2 linked regions of the Caenorhabditis elegans genome follow. The protein of the gene in region 1 purifies or fractionates together with the protein of each later gene. This does not show direct contact. Each region holds a gene or a part of one and is shown on either strand. Other genes may lie near its edges.

Evidence for each region.
Region 2: the proteins of nst-1 (region 1) and grwd-1 fractionate together in Caenorhabditis elegans (co-fractionation; one large-scale study listed by BioGRID). This does not show direct contact.

The regions. Positions count from the first base shown.
Region 1 is NC_003280.10:8,280,501-8,284,930, reverse strand, and holds nst-1 (Guanine nucleotide-binding protein-like 3 homolog), read left to right. Parts: upstream 1-1,722; 5' UTR 1,723-1,742; coding exon 1,743-1,761; intron 1,762-1,810; coding exon 1,811-1,909; intron 1,910-1,973; coding exon 1,974-2,739; intron 2,740-2,787; coding exon 2,788-2,971; intron 2,972-3,046; coding exon 3,047-3,649; 3' UTR 3,650-3,769; downstream 3,770-4,430. Other genes in the region: cct-4 (T-complex protein 1 subunit delta), read right to left, coding at 1-391, 441-1,113, 1,160-1,263; clec-142 (C-type lectin domain-containing protein), read right to left, coding at 3,896-4,430. UniProt on the Caenorhabditis elegans protein: May play a role in regulating cellular proliferation in both germline and somatic tissues.
Region 2 is NC_003281.10:5,151,425-5,156,190, reverse strand, and holds grwd-1 (Glutamate-rich WD repeat-containing protein 1), read right to left. Parts: upstream 2,728-4,766; 5' UTR 2,646-2,727; coding exon 2,523-2,645; intron 2,477-2,522; coding exon 2,383-2,476; intron 2,335-2,382; coding exon 2,177-2,334; intron 2,038-2,176; coding exon 1,587-2,037; intron 1,411-1,586; coding exon 875-1,410; 3' UTR 755-874; downstream 1-754. Other genes in the region: putative cytosolic Fe-S cluster assembly factor oxy-4, read left to right, coding at 121-226, 272-659; rbm-42 (RNA-binding protein 42), read left to right, coding at 3,064-3,092, 3,143-3,446, 3,575-4,150.

The sequences.
Region 1 (4,430 bases):
GAAGAATAGAGACAGCATGTCCTGGATTTTGAACACCAGTCACCTTGATGACCTTTCCATCTCCTCCAGTTGGAATCTCTTCCACAAGATCAGCATATCCGAGTGCATCAGCATTAAAATGATCGACAGAGGCAACTGGTCGGCAACCGAGAATTCTTGAATAAAACTCGATATCCTCTCTTTCAATATCTTTGATGCACATGATCTTCATTTTGGCGAGGAAATGCAAGGCGAGTTCGTTGACAGCATCTCTAAGAATACTCTTTTGAATCAGAAGAACATTACAACCAGCAGCTTTAATCTGCTTGCAAATTTCTAGCAAGTATTGACGTTCTTCCTTCAAAGCACGATCCATTTGAGCATAATCAGTGATAATAACTTGATTTTCCATCTGAAATTTGAATGCGAATTTAAAAAATTAATTTCTTCAATCAACTCACGTCAGTTTTTGGGGGGCTAATCTGGAATTGAATGAGTCCAATCTTGGCTTTCTCAATTCTTGTTGGAGCACCACGTCCCATGGTTTTCTGATCAATGAGAGCTCCTTCGATGAGTTCGGATTCTTCAACCGTGTCTCCCATTTTCTTGATGATCTTGATCATTTTCAGGTTGACATTGGAATCGTTCTCTGAATTGATGATCTTCTTGACAGCATTAACTGCCATAGGTGCGAGCAACCATGAGTGTTGAGAAACAACCTTCGAGTTCAACGATGTTGTAGCCATCTTGTTGAGCAGAGCGTCATTTGACAAATCGACTGGTGAACTCATTTCGTCAAGAATCTTTTCAGCTTCGGCAGCAGCACTTTGGAAAGATTCAGAAATGGTAGTTGGATGAATACCTTTAGAAAGCAGGTTCTGAGCAGCATCAAGAAGAGCTCCAGCCATAACAACGACAGTAGTTGTTCCATCTCCAGCTTCGATATCTTGAGCTTTTGAAAGTTCGACGAGCATCTTAGCAGTTGGATGAATGACACTCATTTGGTTCAAGATGGTAGCCCCGTCATTGGTGATGGTAACATCCCCATTCCCGGACTGAATCATTTTGTCCATTCCTCTTGGACCCAAGGATGTACGGACGGCATCAGCAACAGCTTTTGCAGCAACGATGTTACTGAAAATGAACTAGTGATTTAAAAACAAAAAGGAACAAAGCTCACCTATTGCGAACACTCTCTGGCTTGTCCTTATCCTTGAAATTGCGCTCGCGACCGGAAGCCGATTGTCGGGCTGTTGCAGCTGCGGCTGGAACTGCTGGTGGCATCTGCAAATTAAATTATGATGTTGAAGTCAGACTCTCAGAAGAAATGAATAAAACAACTTTACGGATAGAGGGAATAATATTTTAAAACTTAATTCTAATGTTATTTTCGAACTTTTATTACATTAATTTTGATGAAAATATAGAAACAAATAATAATTCTTCTAGAAATTCTATAGCTTTTAAATTTAACGTTCAGTTTTCAAGCGGGAGCCAGAAAGATCTGTGGAAATACTGGTTTCGTGGCGAGACCCACTTGAGTTCACCAACGTGCCTCCCTTTAATTTATACTCGCATTCTTTTTATTTTCTGGCCTTGCTTGTCGATTTTCTTTCACATGTTATGTTTTGCTTTCGAAAAACGTTTTAAATAAATAATATAAACATTTAATTATATAAAATATATTACGATTTCTTGTTTCTCTTCCTCTTTCTTGTCGAAAAATCAATTTGTCTTTTTAAGAAACCAACAGTCAGCAGAGAATGGCGAAATACTGTCTGAGTAAGTTGATATACATTTGTAACAATATTATAAAATACCTCTTTTACAGAAAAAACCAGTAAGCGAGTCAGCTGCGCCAAGCGCTACAAAATTGAGAAGAAAGTTCGCGACCATAACAGAAAAGTGAAGAAGGAGGCTAAAAAGAATGGTAAGTAAAGTTTTAAAGAATGCAAATAAGGCTATTGAAATAATGGGAAAATTTTTTATTACAGGAACCACTAATAAAAAAGAAAAGACTATCAGTGTTCCGAATTCATGTCCTTTCAAAGAAGAAATTCTGGTCCAAGCAGAGCAGGAGCGCGAGAAGATAAAAGTTCGTCAGGAAGCTGCTAAAGAAGCTGCAAAAATTCATCGCATCGAAAAGAGAAAAAATAATTTGCCAGCCAATTTTGAAAGTATGGTCGCAAAAGCATCGAAACAAGGAACCGAATTTGATAAGAAAGTTGCCAGTGCTGCAGAACATGAGAAGTTCAACACCTTGGATGACAAAACAATCAAGGCTTATGCCAGTGAAGTTAGGAAGACTGTCGAGATTGCTGATGTTATTATCCAAGTACTTGACGCCAGAGATCCGCTCGGCAGTCGTAGCAAGTCTGTAGAGGATCAGGTCTTAAAAGGTGGAAAGCGATTGGTTCTTCTTCTTAACAAAATCGATTTGGTGCCCCGTGAGAACGTTCAGAAGTGGCTCGAGTATCTTCGCGGTCAATTCCCGACAATTGCTTTCAAGGCTTCAACACAAGAGCAAAAGTCGAATATTGGCCGTTTCAACAGCGCTATTTTGAACAACACTGAGACCTCGAAATGCGTCGGTGCCGACATTGTGATGAAAATTCTTGCTAATTACTGTAGAAACAAAGACATTAAAACTAGCATTCGCGTCGGAGTTGTTGGCTTCCCAAATGTCGGTAAAAGCAGTGTGATCAACAGTTTGAAGAGAAGAAAGGCATGCAACGTAGGAAATCTGCCAGGAATCACCAAGTAAGTTAAATTCAGTTGTTTTTCTAAGCTTATCAAATTTATTTTCAGAGAAATTCAAGAAGTTGAGTTGGACAAAAATATCCGTCTTATTGATTCCCCGGGAGTCATTCTCGTCAGTCAAAAGGATTTGGATCCAATTGAGGTTGCTCTTAAAAATGCTATTCGCGTCGACAATTTGCTTGATCCAATTGCTCCAGTTCACGCAATCCTTCGTCGTTGCAGCAAGGAAACTGTAAGTTTAAAACAATAATAATCGTCAAAAGCCTTGATTAAATTTTTTGAATTATTCAAACTGGTCTCTTTTCAGATTATGCTTCATTACAATCTTGCCGACTTTAACTCAGTTGACCAATTCTTGGCTCAACTTGCACGTCGTATCGGAAAACTTCGTCGTGGAGCTCGTCCAGATGTGAATGCTGCTGCCAAACGTGTATTGAACGACTGGAATACAGGAAAGCTCAGATATTACACTCATCCACCAGAGCAGGGAACTGCAAAGGAAGATATTGTTGTTCCTGCTGAAGTTGTCTCACAATTCAGCAAAGAATTTGATATTGACGCGATTGCTGAGGAGCAAAACCAGATCGTTGAAGGCCTTCCAATGGAAAGTGACATTATTGCACCACACAATTCCGACGAAGAAGAAGATGACGACGATGAAATGGAAACAGACGTTAACGAAAAGAAGCAAACAGTAACCAGCGGAAGAAAAGTGAAAGGGCCAACCAAGGATGACGATAAGCCAGTTCTTCCAGAAAGTCTGGCTCTTGAAGGAAACGTTCAGCTCAATAAACTCATCAAGACAGCTATCAAGAAGCAGAAGAAAAAGTCGAAAAAGACTGCTAACAGAGCTGATAAACTGTCGGATTCACTTGGAAACATGCTCGGAGGAGATGCTATGGAAATGTAATATCTCATTGTTATATCACTTGATTTTCTGTTATTTTTTTTCCTTTATCGTTCTGTTTATCCGAATTGTTGATTTTTCATGTTTTGACAATGAAAAAAAAACGTTGTTTCGAAACTATTTATAAACCGCAACGGACTATATTTAGTACAATTATGGCACTGAAGGCAGCTGCTGCGAGGCTTGTCAGTGTGATGATTGTCCACTTAAATTCTTCTGAAATTAAAAACAATTAATTGCCAAAAGAGTTTAAAACTCGCCAAAATCGGTTATCTGATTTTTTTCTTTTTGAACCTCTTTCACTTCTTCCTTAATTTTCCTTTCTTTCTTTTTCTCTACTTTTTTCTCAATTTTCTTAGTCTCCGGAGTAGTTTGAATAATTTCTATGATTTTCTCTTTCCATACACTTTTTTCCTTCGGTTCATTCAAAATAGTCTTATCAACGGCATTCTCAGCTCTTTTTTGGCACAAAATACGTCGTTTCCGGTAGCAAGTATCGAGAAATGGAATTGTTTCACTCGAATCGATATATTTGATTTTCCGATAATTGCACGTCGTCATCACAACTTCTTCCAGAGGGTTCATCTTCACTTCATAGAAATTTCCATTGTCAGAAAAAAATCGAATCTCATCGAAATTTATGTTCAGAAGTTCTAATTTGGCTTCATTCATTTCTTTTTCCAAACCCGAGACTGTCGTGAAAAAATCCATAGAGCTTGATTTCGAAATTGTCTTGAACCGAAAATCTAATGATCTTCCACGACATATTTTTGTATTTATATCT
Region 2 (4,766 bases), on another chromosome or scaffold:
CATGAAACTGAACAGAGCAGGAGCTGAAAAACATATCGTAAATTTTCTACAGTAATCTTTAGAAACGAAACAAAATAAAAAAAGATGCCTCCCTTAAAACACAATACTGAAATGTTTCAGGATCTGTTATTGGTGACGATGGTGGTGCTTCTGGAGGATATGCTGATCGAATTGTTCGAGATTTCGTGCTGGAAAATGGAGGAGGAATTGTAAAAACATCAAAACTGTAGGAATAAATAACTTTAAATAATGTAATATTTCATTTTTTCAGAAACAAGAACATGTTCTCCACGACTGTAGAATCCGAAGCTGGAGAAATTCTTTTAAGAGTTGCCAAGGTTTACGGGTTTCGAAATGTGCAGAATCTGGTTCGAAAAATGAAGACGAAAAAGGAGAAGACAGATTACGTGGAAATTATGGCTTGTCCGGGTGGATGTGCAAATGGTGGAGGTCAGATTCGGTACGAGACAATGGATGAGAGAGAAGAGAAATTGATTAAAGTCGAGGCATTATATGAAGATTTACCCAGACAAGATGATGAAGAAACCTGGATAAAAGTTCGAGAGGAATGGGAGAAACTTGATAAAAACTACCGTAATCTTCTGTTTACGGACTATAGGCCCGTTGAGACGAATGTTGCTCAAGTCTTGAAATGGTGAATTTTCTTGTTATATTTTGTGATACATTCCCAGTCCCTAATTTTTTAGATTCTATAGAATAAAATGTTTTTTTTTGTTTTTCAACGAAAACGCGACATTTTTAAAGCATTTTTTGGTTAACAGAAAAGTTACGAAAAAAAATGAACAGTAACAATGTTGAATAGATGAGAAAAACAGCAACAAAAACAAACAGGGAGCAATAACAGGGAGACATCTTAAATATTAATAGTCTTGAAGACATTAAATCCATCAATTGAAGTGTTGATAGCCAATCCAGGAATCTGTTGATGCCAGTGAACTTCTTTGACCTCATTCTGACCCATATGGACGAACATCAGCTGTGGTGGAACTCCTTCGATATTCGTTTGTCCATCTGCTTCAGTTGCAATATCCCAAATTGTTGTCTGATCGTCTTCACCGGAAGCCATAAATGTCGTTGTTTCATGTGGATGCCAGTCGACTGAAGTGATTGGTGAATTGTGATACTTGAAGAGTGCCACTGGTTGACCGAATTGGATTGTTTTCAAAGACCAAATTTTCAGCTCTCCGTCATCACCACCAGAAACAATGAGGTTTTCGTGACGATTCCACGAAATAACATTAACATCGGATTCATGAGCTTTTTGCACTGTACAGACGCAGGCATCTTTTGGAGCAGAACGTGTATCCCATAGTTTGATACTTCCATCCGCGGAACATGAAGCAAGAAGTCCAGTTTCAGTTGGTGACCATGCAAGATCTTCGACACTCTCTGAAAAATATTGGAATATGTACTGAAAAATGCTCAAAAATTTTTATGCGACAAAGACAAGTTTTTAATTCAGATTTTTGTTTTTTTCCAATCTATTCAAGAAAAAACCACTCAAACGCCATTCAGGAGACACATTTCAATTTTTGGAATTTTCAGATCAAAATTAAATAAATTACTTTTATGTCCAGTTAATGGATTAGCTCCAACAGCCCATTGTCCTCCTTCCTTCATTTGCCACAAATAAATCTTTTTGATGATATCACCAGTAGCCAAGTCTCCAGTTTTTAATGAAGACCAAGCAAGTCCATATCCTTCTTTTCCAGATCCATTATTCGTGAACAAGGGTCGATCGATCTTTTGCACTTCAGTCTTCGACTCTCCGCTCATTCCATGAGTATAATTCAATGCATCAGTGATATTCCACACCTGGACACGTCCTTGATCACTCCAGCAAGCACATACAGTACTGTCACCAAGACGATCGGAACGAATTCGGTTAATACCACCATAGTGAGGAATCGAAACAGCGTGCATTTTTGGTTCTCTTTTCTTCTCTTCTTCGGCATCTTCATCTTCGGATTCGTCTTCAGAGGTGTCACTGTCGTCGCCTTTGTTTTCTTTTTCTTTCTGAAATACTCACTTTTATTGTAGAGATATCCTTGTTTTTTTTAGTTTAACAATTGTGTTACTGAGCTTAAAACTAAACGTTGGCCGGAATTTCAATTTCATAACAGGTAAATAATAAAAAAGTTTGAAACCGACTAACCCTCATCGTTGTAAGATTCTTCAATCCCATCACAATGATTTCGTTATCCCTTGGCTTATCGGCTTGAGTTCCACTGACAATATAACATTCGGCAGGGAATTGTGTTCTGTTCTCGCCCAAACCATCTTTAACAACGTCAAACGACAAGCATGGCCAATCTAAATCATAAAATATAAATATTTTAGAAACAATTTCGTTTGAATCACCAGAATTGAAACTATGAAATAGTTTGTAAGCACTAGGGTCAAAATCCAATTCTTCTCCTTTTTTCAATGGCCGGCTGAGGCCTGGAATGTAAGCCTGCAATTTTAACAATTAGAAGTATTGTACGAAATTTCTAGCTCACTTGTCTCTGATTCTCCGGTACTTCCTCGTCTTCATCATCAGTTTCATCAACTTCCTCTTCAGACTCGTCTATATCCTCCACTGGATCCTCATCATGCATTTCAACGTCATTTTCACCGGACATTTTCTGCAGATACAGAATATATCTCTTAAGAAATGTTAGAAAAAGCGGATGAGGTAATATTTGGAACTTCAGAGGGTGTTTTCTTAAATTTTAAAACAATTATGAGCACAAAACTACTAGTAAAGCGTGAAAATTGGGAGGATAAAAAAAATAAATAGGAAAACAGAAAAAATTTTAGAGTACGCAAAAGTGCGTCGTCTCTGGCTTATTTCATGCGGTGTTTGCGTACTCTTAATATTTTTATCAATTTTTTAATGTTTTTCGAAACAAAAGCTATTTTCCTTTTATTTGTATTCATTTATGTGTTAAAGATAATAATATTAAATATTAATATTTTTTGATTTATCTGTCGCAAAGTTTCTGTACTTTCTGACTATATTTAGACTTATTTTCAGCCTGAAACGCTCACCCTTCAACAATGGCCAACTTGGATGATGAACTGGCTTTGTAAGTTGATTCTTCCTATATTTATTATCAAACAAATTATATTATTTTAGATTTGAAAGCGAGTTAGCCGAACTTGAACAAGCGAGTAGCAATTCGGAGGAGCCAGCAAGCTCTCAAACGCATGTTGGCTACGATAATGCAACAATTTCGGCAGGACCAACTACTTCCGAGTCATCAGCAGCTACTTCTAGTGCTCAAGTTATTCAACCATCACTTTTGGCAGCGCCTCCGTTTATTCCGATAGCTGCCACAATTGCAGTTTCTCCATTTATCAACCCGGCACTTGGGAGGCTTCCAACAATGCCTCCAGTTCCACCTTCAATTTTCATGCCTCCACAATTAAGAGCTGCACCGGTTAGTTTTGATTTTCCGTTGACTTAAAAAATATCCTTATTTTATGAATAAAGCCATAAATTTTTGAGAGAAAAGTTAAAAATTGAAGTTATGTGAATATTACTCTCAATTGAATATTAAATTTACAGATAATGTTCCCTCCTCGAGTACTCGGAATTCCGGCTCCTGCAACTATTGAAGGTGCTCCAGCATTATATGAAACACCTGCAGTAAACGCAATTCCACAAGAACTTCTGCGAACTCAAGCTCTTCAATCAGATATTGATAAGATGAATTTCAAAAAGCAAACCGATCCATTTAAGAAGAAAATCAAGGAACAACAAGCGAAAAAGAAGTTTGTGAGATCCGGTGGTGGTCAGGTTTGGGAAGATCCATCTCTTGCCGAATGGGATGAAAATGATTTTCGAGTTTTCTGTGGAGATCTGGGAAATGAAGTGTCGGATGAACTTCTTGCAAAGGCTTTTCGAAAATACCCAAGTTTCCAAAAAGCCAAAGTTGTCAGAGAATCACGAACAAATAAGAGTAAAGGATATGGATTCGTTTCATTCAGAGATTCGGAGGATTATGTGAGAGCTATGCGTGAAATGGACGGAAAATATGTTGGAAATCGACCGATTAAATTGAGAAAATCGGCATGGAAGGAGCGTAATATTGATGTTATCAAGCAAAAGAGAAAGCAAAAGAAAGAACTTGGAATTTTGTAAATCGATTCGTTTTTCTACATTTTTTTCTGTAATTTATTCATTTATACCCCAATACTTTCATTGTACCCCTTATTTTCCTGTCATCGTATTTTTATTCATTTTTCTTTTCAATATATAAAAGTCTGAATTGAGATATTTATCGTTATTTGAGTATCAGGAGCACTGTTGCATGTCCAGTGCAAAATATACCTCTACTGTCATTTTAGAACATTACATTTTTGAGTTTTTTCTTTTCAATTCATATTTAAGAAAGGCTGAAATCTTTTGAAAACTTCAAATTTTGAGGGAACAATACCGTATCCGGTCTCGACACGATACATTTTTGTTAAATTCGAAATGCTGTGCGCCTTTAAAGAGTACTGTAATTAAAAAATTTCGTTGTAGTTCAATTTCTAACGATTCTTTGAAGTTGTTTGATAAAAATATATCTACTAATCAAAAACTTCAGTAAAGCATAAATTTTAACAATAACTAACAAAAAATTCTTGTCGAGACGGAGTACTGTATATTTAGCGCACAAAACGAGAATTTTCGTGTCTGTGTTTCAAAAATGTTCTTCCTGAAATTTAAATGATTTTGGCTGGAAGTTAAGATAGGTAGACATTATATCTAGTAT